3 linked regions of the Canis lupus familiaris genome follow. The protein of the gene in region 2 purifies or fractionates together with the protein of the main gene of each other region. This does not show direct contact. Links are inferred from orthologs where the notes say so. Each region holds a gene or a part of one and is shown on either strand. Other genes may lie near its edges. The genes, in order: HSP90AB1, PSKH2 and CDC37.

Region 1 (7,070 bases), on a different chromosome or scaffold from region 2:
GATTTTATTTATTTATTCATAGAGACAGAGAGAGAGAGAGAGAGAGAGAGAGACAGAGACACAGGCAGAGGGAGAAGCAGGCTCCATGCAGGGAGCCCGACGTGGGACTCGATCCCGGGTCTCCAGGATCACGCCCCAGGCTGCATGTGGCGCTAAACTGCTGCGCCACTTGGGCTGCCCTCAAAAAGTTTTTTTTGAAGATTTTACTTACTCATTTGACAAAGAGAGAGAGCACACAAAAGCACATAAGCAGGGGGAGTGGCAGGAGGAGAGACTGGGGGGGTGGGGGTAACAGGTTCCCCACTGAGCAGAGAGCCCAACATGGGGCTAGATCCCAGGACCCCTGGGGTCGCGACCAGAGTGGAAGGCTGATGACCAACCAACTGAGCCACCCAGGTGTCCTCACAAATTCAAATTTCGTGTACTTTTCACATGCTAAAATATTATCTTTCTTTTGACTTGTTCAACAATTTAAAAAATGTATAAAACACTCTTCCCCATGAGCCTTATAAAAACAAGCGACAGACCCACCAGCTGCAGGCCAGTTTGTCAGTTCTTGCTTCATCTGGCTACCCTCCAACAACAGAAGGTTGGGCTGGGTCTTTGAGACCTGGTCAGGAACAGAGTATCTTGGGAACAGTAAGCATTGCATGTGCCGCAGGGAATAGGATTCTGGAGCTCTAGGAGGTTTTTTTTTTTTTTTTTTAATTTTTTAAAATTTATTTATGATAGGTACACAGTGAGAGAGAGAGAGAGGCAGAGACGCAGGCAGAGGGAGAAGCAGGCTCCATGCACCAGGAACCCGACGTGGGATTCGATCCCAGGTCTCCAGGATCGCGCCCTGGGCCAAAGGCAGGCACTAAACTGCTGCGCCACCCAGGGATCCCTTTCTAGGAGGTTTTAAGCTGGTTTTAATAGCCTTCAGTGGCTTCCCTCACTATAAGTTCAGGTCAAGATGTCTTAGCACAGCATTCATGGCCCTCTGTGAACTCTCCCTGCAGGGCCACTTTCAATGCCTCTGCCTCTCTTGGGGCTCCCAGGCTATGGTCCTTCTGTCAGGGCTGTGCCATTCCATGCTTCTCCCTCTTCTGGGACATATACCTGTGCCAGGGACTGGCCAGCCTTGGCCCTAAGCCTGTCCCCTGCCTCAGGCTGAGCTGGGAGTCTGATATTTCTCCTGTTGCTATGGTTCACACTTGGCCTGCTGCAGCCCTCTAGGGGCTGAAACCTCCATCTTGTTTCTGCAATTCTGCATCCCAGGAACTCACTGTGGGGGGCTTAAGTGAGTGTCAGCGAGTGGGAGAGCCTTCCAGAAAAGACAGAATTTCTGTGCTAGTGCGTGATTTGAGATCTTCCCATTAGAAGACCCCGGGAGTCTCTGGTCTTAATACTGATCCACAGGAGTGATTTCTGCTGCTTTGGACTTGGGTCCTGGGAAGGGAGACAGCATTGCTACTCCATTCCTGGAGCAAGGAGCGAGGGTTGGTGCAACAGAGGCTCTGAGCTGACTGATCTCACTGAAGCCTTGCTTTCCCAGTGAGAACGGGAGACTCACTTTTACCTCTTCACAGTATTGTGAAATAGTTTGAATGCTCTTTGTGAACTAGGGAGGTTTTTAATTTTCTAGGCCCCTTCTGCCCAGAAAGAGAGAGGGTATGTTGAGGGATGACACACTTCGTTTGAGATCTTGATCAGGAACAGAGAATCCTGGAGGATTCCTGGCAACAGCACCCACAGCTCTTCCCAAACACATTAACTTCCCCAAGTCACAGATTTCTCACACACCATTAAGGAGAATAGGGGGCAGCCCGGGTGGCTCAGTGGTTTTAGCGCCGCCTTTGGCCCAGGGCATGATCCTGGGGACCCTGGATCGAGTCCCACGTCTGGCTCCCTGCATGGAGCTGCTTCTCCCTCTGCCTGTCTCTGCCTCTCTGTGTCTTCATGAGTAAATAAAAATCTTTAAAACAGGTGTGTGTGTGGGGTTGAATAAAAGAGTAAGGAGAAATATAGGAGTGGTGGCTGTGGCTGGGTGATGAGGTCTGGTGCTTGGGGAAAAGATAAGGAATTGGAAGGTCTGTTCTTCGGAATTTAACATATGAATAAGGAAATACAAAGGAAGGAAGAAGGCTGAGGAAGGACGGCGGGCGGTGGTGCCGGAGGCAGCCCCTCCCCAGGATTCCAGGGAACGACCCTGTGGGCCAGGGAGAAGTGGATGGACCCCTACAAGGTCACAGAGCAGCAAGAGGCCATTCTCTTCCGGAGGGGCCGTGGGTCCGACGGCATTCCTAGGGGAGGCCTTAGGTAGACAAGGACGGCTTCCCCTCTGGAAGGCGCGCGAAAGGGGCTGAGCCACGGCGTCCCACAGCTCTCCCGGCCGACTAACGGCTCGGGAGCGCCCGCGCCGCAGCTGGAGGGGAACGACTTCTGGCAGCCTGCAAGGGGGCCCGCTCCTCCTCCCGTCTGCCGGCCGCAGGAGCGAAGAGGGCCCAAACTGAAACCAGATGGGGAAACAGCTCCGTGTGCTCACGCAGGGAAGACGCAGGTCTCCGGGTCCCACTCACTTGGGCGGATGCACAAGTAGGGGAGGGTCCTCCTCCCCGCCCCCCGCGATGGCGAATGCGTCCCCGGGTCTCTGCGCCCCGAAGGCGGCGCCAGCACCACCGCCCCAACAGCCCCAGGCCGTGGGATCGATGGCGGGGGTGGGGGGGTCAATCTTTCCCTTTATGCTCCATCCCACTCCCGAGGGAGCGCTGGGCTCGCCGAACCGGCAGGTGGGAGATGAGGGTCCCCCCCGCGGGCTCCCAGGTTAATAGGGGAACAGCCCGCCTCCTCCCCGGGGACCGCGGCGGCTGCGGACACCCGGCCCAGGCCGCAGAGGGCGGGGCGGCGCCTGCACGGAGGGGGCGGGGCGGGGGCGGGGCCGCCAAGGCGGGTCTGGAAACTGCTGGAAGTAATCGCAGTACCACCATTGCCGCTCCTTCCGCCGGACGCGGGCAAAGAGTCCCCCTGCCGGTGCCGGCCAGGGCCCTTCCCCCAGCCGGAGCCACACCCCGCCGCACAGCCGCGGCTTTCGCCCACTGCCCCTGGGAGGGCCGGGGCGCAAGGCCTCCCTGAGGTTAGACCCCGGATTCCGCACCGTCCCTAAGGAAAACTGCTTCCCCTTCTCGGGTTGTGGGGGTCTGGAGGGCAGATTGTAGCAAGAGTCGAACCCGGGAGCCGAGGTCGGAGCGGTTGGCCGCTTCTATCCCCGCCCTCCACCTTTATAGGTGTTCCTCCAGGCCAGGACTCGAGTGGGGAGGCGCCTGCCTCATGGTTTATAGGAAGGCCAGTGGCACCCGCACCCCTAGATCCCCCACTTATTTCATATGAAATAAGACGTTCCCAGTCTTTAGTTCTCGGAGGGAGCTCATGCCTTGCAAAAGCAGAGATGTACTTGCGTACTCTGAAGGCGGAGACCGAGACCGGCGGCCCCCCCCCCCCCGCCCGCCCCATTTTGGGCCATGACGTCAAGGTGGGCGGGCAGCGGCAGGTGCGGGGCTGAGCTGCACCCTCCTTTAAGGCGGAGGGATCCGGGGGCCGGCAGCTGGTCTGTGCTCCGCCGTATATAGAGCGGCCGGGGGCGCACAGCCGCTCTCTTGAGTCACCCCCGCGCAGCCTTGGTTCGGCGTCGTAGCCGGACGCAGCCCCTGCCCGCCGTGGTCTGTAGTGCTTGCAGCTCTTCCCCTTTAAGGTAAAGTCGTAGCTATTTCCAGGTTTTCCTGCCTGGAGTGCTCTCTTGAGTTGCTCTCGTTCCTCGTTTCCTTTCTAAAGCCTGGGTTTCGTGGAGTGGGAGCGGCCTGTGGGATGGGACGACTCCTAACTGCTTTCGGGGGTGGCCGGGAGGGGGACCGCGAGCTAGACTTGCTTTCTCACCCGTGCCTGGTGGCGGGCGTCCCCGCGGGCGGCGCCTGGCGCTGGGGGAGGTGGGCCGCGGCGCGGGCTGGGGGTGGTGGGCAGCTGCACGTGGTGTCCGCGCCGGCCGGGACGCTGCCATGTTTGCCCCTCCACTTCCGGACGCGGCTACGGGGCGCCGGAGGGTCCCCGCGCGTTGTGGGTGTGCGCGCTGGACGTGACTCAGCACGGCCCGGGGCTGGCCTGCCCGTGCCGCCTGTGCCATCTGTCCCCTGGGACGCGTTTTGCAAGGGTTTTCGTTTTTTTTTTTTTCTGTGACCTTCGGCGAGCAACGTTTGACGGCGGTCTCTGGCCCATAGTGCTTCCTCTCCTTCCAGATCTTTCCTGCAGTGTCGGTGTGGGGGAGGGGAGTGGAGGGGGCAAGCTCGGGAAGATTCATGGGCCCTTTCCTCCCCCGCCTCTCCGAAGAGCTGAGATTGTTCTGGAAGCTTCTGGAACCCGGCGCCCCGCCCTGGTGCCCGGATGCTGGGGCGAAGGGAGGCTGCGCGGTGGCGCCCCCTCCTCGCGTGGCCCTGGCCGACGCACGTCCGGCAGTGACGAGGGTCTGCCCAGCGGACGACGGCCACCATCTTGGTTATGTTTGGTTTGGTCCCACGCTGTAGTCACGTGTGCTGGGGTCGCGATGGAGCTTCTGCCTTAGCGGTTCTTTGTCTCAGCCGCTTGGGCGGGTATCCACCGGCCCCGGGGGTAGTCGGCCCCTGCGCTCCAGGGTGCTTGATGTGGGAGACCCCCAGCGGGAGAGCCAATTGCGAATTCCTTTTAACCCGAAATTGGTCGCCTCGGGCTACCGTTTGTCCTACCAAAAGAAATAGAGCCGTATTCAGTGCTTTTCTCTTGAAAATTATCTGGAGTCCTTTTCGTGTTCCTGGATCCGATCTGCATTTTCAACGAGGTACTCGGTGATGCGGAGTCTGTTGGGTCCCATGGACCACTTAGAGTACTTAGGCTCCAAGGTGTTTTTCCAAAACGCTTTTGACGTCGTGTGTTGTGTTAGAGAAGCTTTTAAAAATTCTTCCTGAATTGGATTTCCACTAAGGGTATAGGCTGAAATCATTGAGGGAAAAGTTTTCTAGTTTTTCAGGAATATGTCTACTATCCAGCCCAAAGCAATTTCAACTAAAAGCTGAGTCTTCGTTGTGAGTAGGGTGAAACGGAGTGTTACCTATGGGGCCACGGTGTTCTTTTGTAATTCTTGACTGTTCTTATTTTAGATGCCTGAGGAAGTGCACCATGGAGAGGAGGAGGTGGAGACTTTTGCCTTCCAGGCAGAAATTGCCCAGCTCATGTCCCTCATCATCAATACCTTCTATTCTAACAAGGAAATTTTTCTTCGAGAGTTGATCAGTAATGCTTCTGATGTGAGTGCTTTGGGCACTTTTGTTTATGGTTTTTGTTTTTAGCATTCAGGAAAACGGAAAAGGGTTTGGGATTTTACGGGGCTGCTGTTGGAGGGGGCCTAAACCTGCTCTAAAATTTTTTTGGTTTATAGGAATGAGGGAATATGGTAACTCTTAACTGCTGTGGTTCTTAAATCTCAAGTTGGGGAAATCAGAACTGGTGCTACTTGGAAGTTCAAAGGTTTTCTTCTGGATGAAGAGGTGAGCTTTAGGAAGTGGAAATGTAAAGTTGAAATTTGTATTTTTAGGCCTTGGACAAGATTCGCTATGAAAGCCTGACAGACCCTTCCAAGTTGGACAGTGGTAAAGAGCTGAAAATTGACATCATCCCGAACCCCCAGGAACGCACCCTGACTCTGGTGGACACAGGCATTGGTATGACCAAAGCTGATCTCATAAATAACTTGGGAACCATTGCCAAGTCTGGCACTAAAGCATTCATGGAGGCCCTTCAGGTATGTACTGTTTCACCTAGACAGGCACCATTCATTTTTGTGGATGTTCTTTGGTGTGTTTTTTGTTTGTTTATTTTAACTTGCGTTTGACTTTAAAACTTTCTGGTAGGCTGGTGCAGACATCTCCATGATTGGACAGTTTGGTGTTGGCTTTTATTCTGCTTATCTGGTGGCAGAGAAAGTGGTTGTTATCACAAAGCACAATGATGATGAGCAGTATGCGTGGGAGTCTTCTGCTGGGGGCTCTTTCACTGTACGTGCAGACCATGGTAAGTTGAGGTTCTTGTTTGGGTTAGAATTCTGGGGACGTCTATAATCTAGATCTTACTAAGTATGTTGTCTGTAGTTGGTTTTTTGTTATAATTCTGCTTTTAGTTTTGTGTCCTTATGTTGTCTTGACTGATGTTTCCTAGGTGAGCCCATTGGCCGGGGTACCAAAGTGATCCTCCATCTTAAAGAAGACCAAACCGAATATTTAGAGGAGAGACGTGTCAAAGAAGTGGTGAAGAAGCACTCCCAGTTCATAGGTTATCCCATCACTCTTTATGTGAGTATGTACTGGTAATCATCACGTGTATGATGTCTGCCGTTCTGGAGGATTGCATGGTCCCCAATTTTGGGTGTTCTGTATTCTGGAACTTTTTTTTTTCTTTTTTTTTTTTGGTACTTCAGTTGGAGAAGGAACGAGAGAAGGAAATTAGTGATGATGAGGCAGAGGAGGAGAAAGGGGAGAAAGAGGAAGAAGATAAAGATGATGAGGAAAAACCCAAGATTGAAGATGTGGGTTCAGATGAGGAGGATGATAGTGGGAAGGACAAGAAAAAAAAGACCAAGAAGATTAAGGAAAAATATATTGATCAAGAAGAACTGAACAAGACCAAGCCCATTTGGACCAGAAACCCTGATGACATCACCCAGGAGGAATATGGAGAGTTTTACAAGAGCCTTACTAATGACTGGGAAGATCACCTGGCAGTCAAGGTGAGCCATGCGTGCTGACCCAATAGGAAGAGCAGGCAGAGGGTGTTGCCGTGGTAGACTGGTGGAATTTGTTCAACTGGTTGGTAGGCGGGAACTGAATGCCATGGAGTCCTGTCCATTCACTTACTGGGGACGCTTCGGTAAAGAGAGACATCCTTTCCAATGACCTCACTTAATTTCTATGGCAGGTTCTTGATGGAATTGTTTTCTCATTGATCTAAGGGTTATATGTAGCTGTGCCATTGTAGGTTAATTCAGGGTAAAAGGTTAGTTTTTTGAAGATACT
Region 2 (6,834 bases):
TTTTGGGCAACTGGTGGAAGTTAAGAATGAGCTAAGTTTTTTTTTTTCTTTAGCAGCTGGAGGGTCGATTCATCTAATGCTCTTCAGAAAACACCTCAGGAGTAGAGTTTAGCCCAGAACCAGGAGCCAAACACCATTTCCATTTATTCAGCTTGTATGAATGTTACAGGAAGTAACTTATAGGCGCTAAACATTTGATGTAAAAATAAAAATTCATTTAAAACTGGCCTTGAGTCTAAAGTTCATTTTAACAATTTTATTACTTCAACTAGGATAAAATATATAATTAACTATAAATAATGTATAAATAGCATGTAAAAATAACTGTGTTTGAGAAGTCTCCCAAATAATGAAGCAATTATGCACAATAAAGAGAAATACAGGGGCACCTGGGTGGCTCAGTTGGTGAAGCATCTGCCTTCAGATCAGGTCATGATCCCATGGTCCTCGGATGGAGCCCTGCTGGGGCTCCCTGCTCAGCGGGGAGTCTGCTTCTCCCTCTCCCTCTGCCCTTCCCCCAAGCTCATGCTCTCATGCTTTCTCTCACTTTCTCTCAAGGGAATAAATAAAAATCTTAAAAAAAGAGAGAGAAGAATACACATAGAAGGCTGTAGTAGGGTGTTTCTCTGCATATAACTTTAGGTTAACAAACTTTCTCAAGGCTAACTTAGGCTCCAAGAGCATACTTACCCGTGATTTTAACATTTCAGCATTTCAAAACTTGGTACAAGCCTTAAAGTAGAAGTTTTGAATGCATTAAGTAGTTAATCTTTTTTTCCTCCGGGCACAAGATTTATTTTTGCCAATAATACTTCCAGTTACTAGTTGGTGCTTCCCAAAAGAGAACTAATCAATGGTTCTATTACGGTTTTCCTTCTTAAAGACTTGAAGATCAGTGACCCTATTGGCCAATTTTCAAAGAATGTGGTTCAGGCTTAGTGAGAGGCTCTTGACAAATCTCTTCCTGTTGTGCAGCCAGTTGTGGCCAGGACACAGAGCTTGCGCAGCCAGCATAGCACCCAGACCACAGAAGTGTTGCCTCATAGCGCCCCGGCGCCTTCCCTGCTGCCCAGGCTCAGCATTTAGAGTAAATGCTTCCTATTTGCTGGGCCACACATATCCAAACACCCCATACACTAGGGCTCTCTGGGTAACGAATACTGTTCTTCTTCTTCTTTTTTTTTCCCCCAATATTTTTTATTTATTTATTCATAGAGCCACAGAGAGAGAAAGGCAGAGACACAGGCAGAAGGAGGAGCAGGCTCCACGCAACAAGCCTGATGTGGGACTCGATCCTAGGTCTCCAGGATCACACCCCGGGCTGCAGGCGGTGCTAAACCGCAGCGCCACCGGGGCTGCCCCATGGAAAACTGTTCTTTAAACAGCACCTTGACATTTTACTTCTGTCCATTTGTTCCCTTTTTCTTTTCATTTCCATTTTGCTTTATGTTTTTTATTCTGCAACTTAGTTTGAAAGCTTGAGACCCCCGCAGCAGTTTAAAACCTGCTTAAAACCAATCTTCTCTCTTTGTTTCCCAGTACTTGGAGAATCCTGGGGGTTCTTTATCAAGAAAAATTCATTATTGGGTAGTTTAGCTCCCTTTGCAGGATAGGCTCATTTTTCCCTCAGCTACCCATAAGACATGTCTTAAATTTTCCTTCAAAATAGAGTTCTTCTGGGCAAATTCGCGGCTAACTGACTCATCAGAGATACTGTTAAGTCAAACTAAAAATTAAATGAAGTTATAAAGCAAATTGAAAGAGTGCCACATTGGAAGTTTGGGACTGGGCCTCCGGTTCCGCCTCTACAACTTGCTAGGGGTGCCTCATCTTGATTAGCTTGGTCTTGACTGAATCTCAGTTTCCACACATCTTTTACTTAACATTTAGCAATGTAAATTATATATAATCAATATGTTGATAACTAATCAATACATAAACTAACATTTATCAAAAAAGAAATATTTATCAGATATATACAATATGCACACCCATACATGTAGGGATAGTTATGAAAGCAAAGTTGAATTATCTAAAACATAAGATTATATATAGTATAATAACTATATTCATAATATAATTATATTAGATATTATGTGATAATATTACACAGTCTCCACATAATATAAAGAGAGTATATCATTTTCTCCTTCTTCTTCTTTTTATATATTTTGTTCTTGTAGTTGCATTACGTGTTGGGCTGGGTTCTAGACATCTGGTTTTCTCCCAGTTTTTCTCTTTGCAATGCCTCATCCAGAGGGAAGGCCCTTCCCGCTGTAGGAGAGTTAGTGCAGTACCAGAAAGAAACTAGTGTGTTTAATAAATGCAATAGGGCAGCCGGGGTGGCTCAGCTGTTTGGCACCGCCTTCTGCCCGGGGTGTGATCCTGGAGACCCGGGATCAAGTCCTATGTCGGGCTCCCTGCATGGGGCCTGCTTCTCTCTCTGCCTCTCTCTCTCTCTCTCTCTCTCTCTCTCTGTGTCTCTCATGAATAAATAAATAAAATCTTAAAAAAAAATAAATGCAATAGAGCAGCCTCTTATTACATACTTCAGATGTCACAAGCTCTTAGAGTTTAAACCATATACGCATTCAATGTTCCTGCCATCTGGATATGAGCTCGGCCCTGGAAACAGGAAGATCCTTGAGAGATGATGAGATCCTTCATTGACTCCCATCATTTTGGGGGCTCACATCTCCACTTTGCAGATGAGAAAACAGGCCCAGGCTTCGGCCTCTCCGCGGAGGTAAGGGGTCGCTGACCCCTCCAGGCGGCCTACTGGCAGCCAGACCTTTTGCAAGCTTGTTTTCAGAGGCCCGCGGTGGGGGTTCCTTCCAAGCGGGCCCGGGGGGTGGGGTGGGGCGGATGGAGGTGCCCCCGCCCCCCACCCCACCCCACCCCGGGGCTCGGGGTTAAGCGCAGCCCCGCCCGCCCGGCCCTTCCCAGCGCGACGGGCATGGGCTGCGGCGCCAGCACCAAGGTGACCCCGGGGGCGCCCGAGCGGGTCCCGGGCGGGCAGGAGCGCGAGGGCCGCGGCAGCTCCGGGGGCCCCGGGCCGGAGGCGGTGGCCGAGGCGGCTCGCAGGATGCAGGTGGCCCGCTTCCGCGCCCACTTCCACCCCCGCGTCCTGGCCAGGTAAGGTGCAGGGCCCCGCGGCGGGGCCCGGGCGGGGAAGGCCCCGAACCCTCCCCGAGGCCTGATTAAACCCCAGGCGGGCTGCTTTGGGATGCAAGGCCCCTGAGGGCCCTAAGTTCTTTCTCTAACCCCTTTGAGATGTAAAAGTCTTGCAGGAAGGTCTTTCCCGAGGACCGGAGCACCCTCCCCTTGAAATGCAATCAGGGGGCCGCTTCCTCCGGGTCTCTGCCCACCTTGGGCCAGCACCTGCCGGACCGGCTCCCTCCGCAGGCCCTTCCTCTAGGACTCCTCTTCTACTAGCTCGCCCAGGGCTGAAAACTGGCCTCTGGTCTCAACGGGGCTGAAGCCAGTCCCCTCCCCTGCTGCCATAGCTTGGACTCCAGTCCTGATAGTCTTGGGACAGAGTCTTCCTCATGGTTTTTAAACAAGTGTTGGGGCAGATTCTGTTTGACCCTCTGAACAGGGAGGGCAGAGGAGTGGGAGGATTCCAGACTGAAAGTAGAGGAGGGACAGGAGCAAGGAAAGAGGGAGAATCTGGGACTTCAGAGCTGGGGAAGGAAGGAGAGGGTCCCCCAAGCCCTACATGGCTGATGGGGGCCTTGCCACACATACGCTGGGGCTGGGTCCAGACAGGCCTGTTTGTGAAGGATCTTGACCACATTCTGGAAAAGGAGACCGTAATTCATAGAATAGAAATAAGGCTTTGAGTCAGCCAGACTTGAGATCCACTCCTGTGTCTTTTATCATATGTCTGGATGACCAGAGTGTTCCTTAGCCTCTCTCCTTCCTCAGTTTTGGTCTCAGTAAAATGGGAATAATCATAATATCTACCCCATATGAATGTTGTGAGGATAATTAAAGTGATACATTCAAATTGTGCTGCTTAGTTCATGAGTCAAGTCTTTTTTTTTTTTTTTAAGATTTTATTTATTTATTCATGAGAGACACAGAGAGAGAGGCAGAGAGACACAGGCAGAGGGAGAAGCAGGCTCCATGCAGGGAGCCTGATGTGGGACTCAATCCTGGGACCCCAGGATCATGCCCTGAGTCAAAGGCAGATGCTCAACCGCTGAGCCACCCAGGCGTCCCAAATCAAGTCTTTACTGAGCTAAGGTGCACATAAGACCTAGCTGACCCCTATGTACGAAATGAGCAGGGATGATAGGTTGGTTGGTCTGAAAAAATAACTTCCAGAGTGTATCATGGCAGACGTACAGAGGAAGAGAATCATGAAATCCTCTTCCACCCTGCAGGGCTTGGTGGGTGGCTCATCTGGCTTCTCAGGGACATTTCCAGCTCTTGAATTGTATGCTCACTTCCCCGCAGTGCTGTGAATAGAGTCTGTGCAGAGCCACTTCTTGGCCTACGGGGGAACTTCTAATACAAGGAGACCTTGTGGATTAGTCCAGTAGCTGCTAAGCATGGAGACAAAGTTGTCTGATCCAATTGTACCTAAATCAGAATGGACATGGGAGGGATCTTATCACTTCTGAATTGGTTAGATGGCATCTCTGGTCATCTGTAGCCAGAGAAATGAGGCTGCTGTGGTCTAGTCTTACCCACTCTCATAACCTCCATGTGCAGGGTAGTCCCAGTTCTTTAGAGTGTGCAGGGGTCATAGACGGGGAAGGTCACAACATTGTAAGGGCTCTAGCGACTGACTCAAGGCTTTTGACCTGATGAAGAGTTAACCCCCAGATGATAAAGTGACTTGTTCAAGTCAGTGGCAGACTTGAGTCTCAAATACTGTTGTCTTTCTTCTCCATTGTGACTCTATTTATAACTCTTGCAGAATAGAGATGATAGAATTTAAATCTGACTATATGCACTTTCTTCTTGGGAGTTCATTATAATTGCTTCTATCAAATAGGTTGTGATATTATTATTGTTTCCGTGTTTCATTTTTGTATGCATGTTCAAAAAATTCCCAGTCTGTAGCAGCTGAAGTTAGAGTCATGATTTCAATTCTGAGGATGATGTAAAATTGCACCACCTACAAAATTAACTTTGAGGGTCGGGCGGTGGGTAGGAGCAGAAGAGTGGAAGGGGAAGGAATGGAATGGCCTTGTAAATGCCTTCTCCAATGCTTGATTTGATCCTTAATGTTTTCGAAATATAAGTGATAATTTGGAAATAATATGTATTTAGTGAGTGATTCTTTCATTCAACATTTATTGCTGTACCCTCTGGGCCAGGTGCTGCAAAGATATAGCCACTCAAGTCATAAAAATGGTCACCATCCATGGCCATCAAGCAAGGCTGCAGTTACAGGAATTTGTTATGGGACATTTGTTGTTCAGTCTGAAACCATTTATTTCCAGTACTCTACATTTTGGCTTTAAGCCTACGGTTTCCTTCAATGCCAGATGACTAGCATTTTTTCAAGTATTTGGTATATGAGGGCCCCTTAGCAGCATTGAATAAAGCTCCTTTTATTTAAACAAAAGAGTGTAGTTCCTCAGAGATGGTAATGCAGCTGATAATGGATGATTAATTCCATGAACAAATGAATTTGCCTGCAGTTTTGAAGGCGGAGTGAAAAATTAGTACTTGCAAAGTGCTTTCATCCACATTAGAGGTAAATGTAAATTTTGGTCAGTCTGCAAAGCAGTAGCATTTGAAATGCCTGTGATTATCTTCAAAATCAACCTGAGTGTGCACGTGAATGAAAAAGCAAAGTTGGAAAGAGAAGAGGCAACAGAATCTATTTAAGATGAGTAAATTGCTGTCTGTTTTGATAAAGTAATTGGCCAGAAAATTAAAGGCATTGCATAGAACAAAGCTGTTTTCTGTAAGCCAGTGCAGCCAAATGCCATTTTTATTCAGGAAGCATAGAAATATAAGGAACAGAGAGGTAGGGGGGAAAACTACTGGAAGAATGAACTCAGCAAAAAAGAAGTAAGGCTATTTACAACACAGATTTATATTTGCATTTGAATCTCTGGTACTGAGTGTGCAGTTGAAAGCATTACCTTTCCCTGCACACTCCCCTCAGCACACTCCACTCCCTGGCCTCCTCTCCCAGGAGAAGTTTTAATAAAGGGGAAGAGCAGCAAATTATGATAAAAATAAGGCGACCTGGGTTCTCATCCTCACTCTAGAACTTAATCAATCTGCTAACCTGATCTTCAGAGTTCCTCATTTGTAAAATGAGGGGTTGGATTCGGTCATTCTCCAATATTCTTTCCAGCTGTAAAAATCATGATTCTAAGTGATGCACTTTCTCAACATCTCTCAGATAGGCAGTTAAACTTGATAAAATTCTTAAATTGGCGTAGACGTTTACACAGATAGTTCAAGTGTAAGATCACCAGCCTTTGAAATACTAGCTGAGAGATAATGACTTTACACATTAACGTGTATCCCCTGATAAAATTCGGTTTCTTGGGTAGAAAGTGTAAGTGTAGGGAATAAGCTGGGAGGAAACGGTGGCTCAAACACCACCCCCATCAGACGTGTTTATCAGTGATCATCTGTCAAGGTTGCTATCGTGGGCGCAGTAGGGCATGTGTGCTCACAATCAAGTAACCTGAAGAAGACTCTTTGTGCCCTGTCTTTTGATATGATTTCCTACTTCTTATGAGAGAGAGGCTATAAACAGGACTAGGTTTCTTTTCTGTACTCTTTCCACCTGGGTTGGTTGTTGTTTCAGAATAGTAAAAACAAGGGCTGGAGGGAGGAACGAAAATGGTAGAAGGT
Region 3 (6,406 bases), on a different chromosome or scaffold from region 2:
CATTTCCAACCCTTACCTTAAAGCAGCACTCTTGGGTAACATACCTACCAGGCAAGCCACGGAGAATGTAAGAAGAAAGTTCTAGCACTTCCATTTTTTGCCATGTGTAACATTTTATTATGAAATGCTTAAGACTCAACACAGAGCTCTAAAGACTGTTCTTGGGAGTACCTACTTTTGTCACATAAAGAGGTTAATCTATACAGCTATGTGGAGAGCATTTTGGTCCTGCTGGGTGGGAAACCAGTGCCCCCTCTCCTGCAGAGTTCTCCCGACCCTGCCTTCCTCCCTCCTGGAACAGAACCTTTTCTTGTCCTGCTGAGGACCCTATGGCTGTAGTGGAATCAGGTGGGGGTGGGGCGGGGGGGAGGGGAGAGAAGCATCTCTAGCCCCAGCTTCAGTGACAGGCAAGTTTGGGTTCTAATCCCAGCCCTACCACTTACTGCTTTACTTTTCCTGCCCCTAGAGACCATCCGAAGAATGAAATGAGATTAGGCCTGACAAGAACTTGGCTCCGGGCCTGGGAGGGAGTAAGCATATAGGAGGGGGAGGCAAGATTAGGAAAAAGGTAGCCTGCTGCACTTCTGAGCACAGGCCTGCACAACTGGGTTCCAGTCCTGGCTCCTGAATCACTGACTTACTGCATGACCTCCAGCAAGTTGTTTGATCTCTTTGTGCCTTGGTTTCCCCAGTTGGGAATATTAAGGGTATCCACCCGATAGGGTTGTTATGAGAGGTTACTCTATTGAGTACGTGTGATGTCCTTAAGGATAGCACGTGGCACGTGATAAGCTCTCTGTAAACTTTAGCAGTTACCGTCATTGTTATTGTTTAGGTAATCCGTGCTCCGGGAAAGAAAGATTCCAGAGGTGCCAGAAAGAGACAAGGGAGTGTCCCAGCCCCACCTCCCTTGTCCAGATACAGCTACTGTTAAACTAGTTTCTTGGGACTCCTTTCATCAAACTATGGCGCTGTGATTCTGTGAGCGTCAGGTTCTTTGTAAGGCTGGAAGGTGGTGACACCTGCAGGTCCCAGCTTCCTGCTGTGGCCCCTGTCACACCCAGGCTGCCACAGCCCCTCCCAGAGGTGGAAAGCCCGTGCTGGGCAGGCTGCCGCCCCCACCAGCTCCAGGAGGCCTTTATTTAGCTCCAGTCTCCCTGGCGGCCACTCAGAGGACATCGAGAAGAGCTCAGTGGCCACCCAGCAGAAGCCAGCAGGGTGGTAGGCTCCTGCTGCCACCCGAGGCCAGCTAGAATGCCAACCCCAGAGAGCCCCGCAGCAGGAAGCCCCCAGGGCACCCCAGGCCCCAGAGGGGAAAATGGCAGAGCCCCAGGCCTCTCTCTTACTCTTCCAGGAGGCAAGGGCCCTTTCGGCCTTGACACAGCTGGGGAAAGTGAGACTCTGGACTGTCAGCAGTCCTGTGGGGCTAAGTTAGAGAAGGCTCAAGGCTTCCCCATTCTCACCTACTGCGTGCCTGACTCTGCTCAAACTTGGAGATACAGCCTCAGAGAAGGCCCAGAAGTGAGTGAGTGAACCACTCTGGGGCCAGTGGCCAGGATGGTGACGCTAACAGCGGAATGTGTTCATTACGTAGGACTGCGTGCAGTTTCCTGGGAGTAACTCCTTTGATGCTGCGTTTTTCCCAAAGAGGAACTAACTCCAAGGCTAGAAGTGTTTAAGTGTCTTAGCCAAGGTCACGTCACCAGTACGCGGTGGAGCTGGGTGATGTGACAGTGCGGTAACAACCACTCCCAGGTATTGAGCATGTGCTCTGGGTTGGAAATTGATGGAAACACTCGAAGTATGCTTTCTTGTTTGAGCCCCAGAATGGTCAAGAGAGAGAGAGAGATTGTCCCCTTGGATAGTAATGGCAGTCGCCACCACGGGAATGGTGCTTGCCGAGCATCCAGCATGGCTCTGGACTGTCTACTTTGACTTAAATCTCCTTTGCTTCTCCTGGTGCCGCTCGGTGAGGTCGGTACTGTTGTCTGCCTTTGACAGATGAGGAAACGGAGGTCCCTAGAGGTCAGGGGATTGACCCAAGGACCCCAGCCTATACTCAGTAGCCACGGCTTATGACTCCACATCTGGGGCCCTGAGGCTGTTCTCCAGTGTCTTATCATGCTGTCTGATGATCTTAAAGGGGGCTTTGAGGCACAGTGATGGGGAATGGGGGGCCCTTGGGGAAGGCTCTGTAGAAGCTGAGACCTGGGGCCAAAGGACATGGAGTGAGAGGAAGAGAGTTCCAGGTAGAAGGAGCAGCCTTTGCAGAGTCCAAGAGTCAAGAGCGAGCTGGTGCATTTGGGATCTGCCTGCAACCTAGAATTGGGAAAGGAGAATGGGACCCTGGCCCCCTGGGGCCTTGGTGCCACTTGGGCAGCTTGGAGTAAGGCTTTGGGATCCCATCTGAGCGTAGACGCTCCAGGTTGGGGTGGCAAGAAGGGCTGCAGACAGATGTGCGAATTTCCAAGACTGGCAGTCTAGCTTGGAACAGCTGTGGAAGGTGGTGGCACCTCTCAGGGCTCAGTCAGGGGCTTTGGATTGAGCAGGCACTGCTGAGAGCTGGGGGAGATGATGGAGCAAAGCAAGGGTGGAGGACAGACAGGGCCATGTCATGTTGTAGAGAGTCTTGTGGGGACCGGAGCGAGAGGGGGAACGAGGGCACCATCTGAACTTGGGGTGCAACAGCAGAGGAGGTCTGGGGAGCAACAGCTGGGGTAGGGGGGACAGGAGGCCGGTGGGCACCGAGCTAAGGCTCAGGGTGGGTGTGCTGGCCCGGAGACATAGCTGATGGGGCCTTGGGCAGCCATCCAGGAGTAGTTCTCTGGGTGGACCAAATTGGAGAGACTTCTAGAAGCGAAAGCTGTCAGGACTGGGTAGGAAAGAGGGAGGAAAGGACAGGACCAGTGAACAGGCCTCAGTGGGGGGCATCGGAGGTTGTTGGGCAAGGGAGGGCACCTGAGTGTCACTGAGGGCGGCTCCGGGGAGGACGAGTGGCCTGAGACCCCCATCCAGTATTTCCTTACTTTATTCATCCAACAAGTGTCTCCTGAGCCTTGACTGTGCACTTGTGTGTGAGACACAAGTGAGCAGATCCCCCATCTCTAGGGACCCCACTCCTCAGAGAGGGACAGTGTTGAGAACAGTAAATAATTGTCACCAGGTTGCCACCAGATGCTAGCAGGTAATGAGTGCTGAGGAGGAAGGTGAAACAGGGCACAAGTAAGGGGAGGTTGCCATCTTCATTCAGCAGGGTGGTCAGGGAAGGGCCTCATCTGTAAAGTGATGTTTGAGCCAAGATGGCAAGGATGTGAGGGAGTAAGCTGGTTTGGGTGCCAGTGGGGGGAGTCTGGAGAGAGAACTTTCCAGGCTGGGGCAACAGCTAGTGCAAAGGCCCTGAGTTTAGAAGTGGGTTCAAGAAAAGACAAAGCAGCTACTGTGACTGGAGGGAGGGGGCAGATTGTGCAGGGCCTTGTAGGTCATAGATAGGACTTGGTTTTCTGCTCTGAGTGACATGGATGCCACAGAGCCTTCTGAGCAGGGTTGGGGGTGGACACACACAAAGTAAGGTGTGTGCAGGTATCCTGGTGGGATGGAAGCTGCCCCCCCAGGGGGGCACAGAGGGTGGTGCACACATTCCCTGAGGCCATCCCAGGTGCAGGGGGTGGGAGCCCTGGGTGGGGCAGGGCCGAGGTCAAGGGACCAGCCTTTCCCCGGAGTGCAGGGCTTGTGTCTGCCCGCAGGCCCGGGTGGAGCGCATGGAGCAGTTCCAGAAGGAGAAGGAGGAGCTGGACAGGGGCTGCCGCGAGTGCAGGCGCAAGGTGGCTGAGTGCCAGCGGAAGCTGAAGGAGCTGGAGGTGGCCGAGGGCGAGGGCAGCAAGGTGGAGCTGGAACGGCTGCAGGCCGAGGCTCAGCAGCTGCGCAAGGAGGAGCGGAGCTGGGAGCAGAAGCTGGAGGAGATGCGCAAGAAGGAGAAGAGCATGCCCTGGAACGTGGACACGCTCAGCAAGGACGGTTTCAGCAAGGTGGGAGGGGGCCAGCAGGGTTCCCCCCATGCAGGGGCTGGTGGGGTAGGTGGGGGTAAGGCCTGGACAGCTCAAGGGAGGGACGCCCTGGCATGGAGAGGGTGGAGGGACAGGTGTGGGGCTGGGTGGATGAAGCACCCCACTGGTACCCCCCTCTGATCTGCCCGAAGGCCCTAGTTCGAGGCCACACCTGCCACACCCACGCTCCCGCCACACTGATGCTCATGGCGCCGTCACCACCTCCGCCGTGGAAGGGATGGGCGCTGCGGCCTCGGCCCACCCGGCCGTGCTGGAGGCGCTCTGCGGCCTCGCCCCAGCCCACTCCCCCTCTCGCCCCATCACAGAGCATGGTCAATACCAAACCAGAGCAGGCGGAGGAGGAGTCGGAGGAGGTGAGGGAGCAGAAACACAAAACCTTCGTGGAGAAGTACGAGAAACAGATCAAGCACTTTGGTGAGTTGGGCCGTTGGAGGGGGCCGGCAGGCTAAGGTTAGGAGGTTACACAGGACAGGGGCTGGTCCTCTGCCTCTGGGGCCCCTCAGCACCTTGCCAACACCTTCTCGTAGGCATGCTCCGCCGCTGGGATGACAGCCAGAAGTACCTATCAGACAATGTCCACCTGGTGTGCGAGGAGACAGCCAACTACCTGGTCATCTGGTGCATTGACCTAGAGGTGGAGGAGGTGAGTGGAGTCTACCCCGGGACTAGGGGAAAGCCCTGCCCTGAGGCCACCACTTGGTGACATCCTACCTCTTCTCCCTTGGCAGAAATGTGCACTCATGGAGCAAGTGGCCCACCAGACCATTGTCATGCAGTTCATCCTGGAGCTGGCTAAGAGCCTGAAGGTGGATCCCCGTGCCTGCTTCCGGCAGTTCTTCACTAAGATCAAGGTAGTGTCCCCGAGGAGCCAGGGTCGGGTGGGGTGTGGGCCTCTTCAAGGCACCAGCCTCCATCTACAGGGGGTATATACAAAGGTCCATTCAGACTTGGGGCCGTGGGATCAGAACCTGTTCGATCAGGGGAGGCTGGAGACATGGAGGGGCCAGTAGTCAGCCCCCGGTTTGAAAGACGGGGTGTGTGGACAGTCCCGACGTGGGGTGAGGGACAGAGTCAAGGATGCCTTAGGGTTCCCTCACCTGAGCACCTGGAAGCACAGAGCTGCCCATGATGAGGCCTGGGAGGCTGAGGGCAGGGCAGCCTGCGGGGAGCGATCAGAGCTTGGGTGAAGACATAGGTGAGGTGAGCATTCACAGGTCTGTGACTCAAGGCAGGCACGTGGTCATTAGCACGTCAGCAGTAAAACCAGCCTTCGGGGGCGGGCCCATGGGAGAGACGGACCGAGCCTCTGAAGAGATCTCGGCCCTCCAACCCTGCAGACAGCTGACCGCCAGTACATGGAGGGCTTCAACGATGAACTCGAGGCCTTCAAGGAGCGCGTACGGGGCCGCGCCAAGCTGCGCATCGAGAAGGCCATGAAGGAGTACGAGGAGGAGGAGCGCAAGAAGCGGCTGGGTCCTGGTGGCCTGGACCCTGTTGAAGTCTATGAGTCTCTACCTGAGGTGTGGCTCCCCGGCCCTGGGTGGGCAGCAGGCAGGACCCCCAGGAAATGAGGCCCTGACCCCGGCCCATCTGTACCCGCAGGAACTCCAGAAATGCTTTGACGTGAAGGATGTGCAGATGCTCCAAGATGCCATCAGCAAGATGGACCCTACCGTGAGTAACCACTCCCCAGGCCCACCCACCAGCCCAGCTGAGTGGCGGGGGCAAATGATATGTCCCCTGCCCCCCCTCCAGCCCTGCTCCCCACATCGCTGGTAGAAGTGTCCCTTGTGGGCTTCACGGAGCAATAAGGGAGGTCATGTCAACCGTGTGGCCAGCACATGAGCCAGCCTATGGAGGATCTACCGTGTGATTACATCCAGCAGTGAACTTGGAACTTTGAGCATATCCCCTGCCACTGTCACTGCCCCCGTGGGCCATTTATGAGCATAATGGGCACACCAGGTTGATCCTACCTTTGTCCAAGGAAAGAGTGCTCCTCCCCAGCCTTGGTTACCCAGTTTTCTCTGGATACTAACTTGGAAAATCTGGGAGTGAGGGGGTGCTAAGCACATGGTAAATGTCAGCTGTTGTTTGTATGTGTGCATGTATTTTAAAGTAAGCCTCTACCCAGTGTGGGCCTTGAACTCATGACCCCGAGATCAAAAGTCACATGCTCTACTGATTGAGCCAGCCAGGTGGCCCTAGCTGTTGTGACTAGGAACAGCAAGGGTGCTGGTAGATGGGACTTTGTGTCTTTACAGACCTTGGTTCGCCCCCATTCCTGCTGTTTGGCTCACTGGTCGGCCACACTAGTTTCCTCATCTGTGAAACAAGTCTAG

What was found.
Region 1: the proteins of PSKH2 (region 2) and HSP90AB1 purify together in Homo sapiens (affinity purification with mass spectrometry; 3 studies listed by BioGRID and IntAct, counting the BioPlex papers as one, with this or other methods). This does not show direct contact. The link is inferred for Canis lupus familiaris from reciprocal best matches to the Homo sapiens genes PSKH2 and HSP90AB1.
Region 3: the proteins of PSKH2 (region 2) and CDC37 purify together in Homo sapiens (affinity purification with mass spectrometry; 3 studies listed by BioGRID and IntAct, counting the BioPlex papers as one, with this or other methods). This does not show direct contact. The link is inferred for Canis lupus familiaris from reciprocal best matches to the Homo sapiens genes PSKH2 and CDC37.

What each region holds. Positions count from the first base shown.
Region 1 is NC_049233.1:12,843,935-12,851,004, forward strand, and holds the start of HSP90AB1 (heat shock protein HSP 90-beta), read left to right. Parts: upstream 1-2,513; 5' UTR 2,514-2,531; exon of another isoform or gene 2,532-2,542; intron 2,543-3,571; exon of another isoform or gene 3,572-3,735; intron 3,736-4,517; exon of another isoform or gene 4,518-4,843; intron 4,844-5,162; coding exon 5,163-5,309; intron 5,310-5,596; coding exon 5,597-5,803; intron 5,804-5,912; coding exon 5,913-6,072; intron 6,073-6,216; coding exon 6,217-6,350; intron 6,351-6,475; coding exon 6,476-6,784; intron 6,785-7,070. UniProt on the Homo sapiens protein: Molecular chaperone that promotes the maturation, structural maintenance and proper regulation of specific target proteins involved for instance in cell cycle control and signal transduction. Undergoes a functional cycle linked to its ATPase activity.
Region 2 is NC_049250.1:32,956,759-32,963,592, reverse strand, and holds the start of PSKH2 (serine/threonine-protein kinase H2), read left to right. Parts: upstream 1-2,956; coding exon 2,957-3,135; intron 3,136-6,834.
Region 3 is NC_049241.1:51,127,306-51,133,711, forward strand, and holds part of CDC37 (hsp90 co-chaperone Cdc37), read left to right. Parts: intron 1-3,743; coding exon 3,744-4,025; intron 4,026-4,369; coding exon 4,370-4,478; intron 4,479-4,591; coding exon 4,592-4,707; intron 4,708-4,792; coding exon 4,793-4,915; intron 4,916-5,401; coding exon 5,402-5,584; intron 5,585-5,666; coding exon 5,667-5,738; intron 5,739-6,406. UniProt on the Homo sapiens protein: Co-chaperone that binds to numerous kinases and promotes their interaction with the Hsp90 complex, resulting in stabilization and promotion of their activity. Inhibits HSP90AA1 ATPase activity.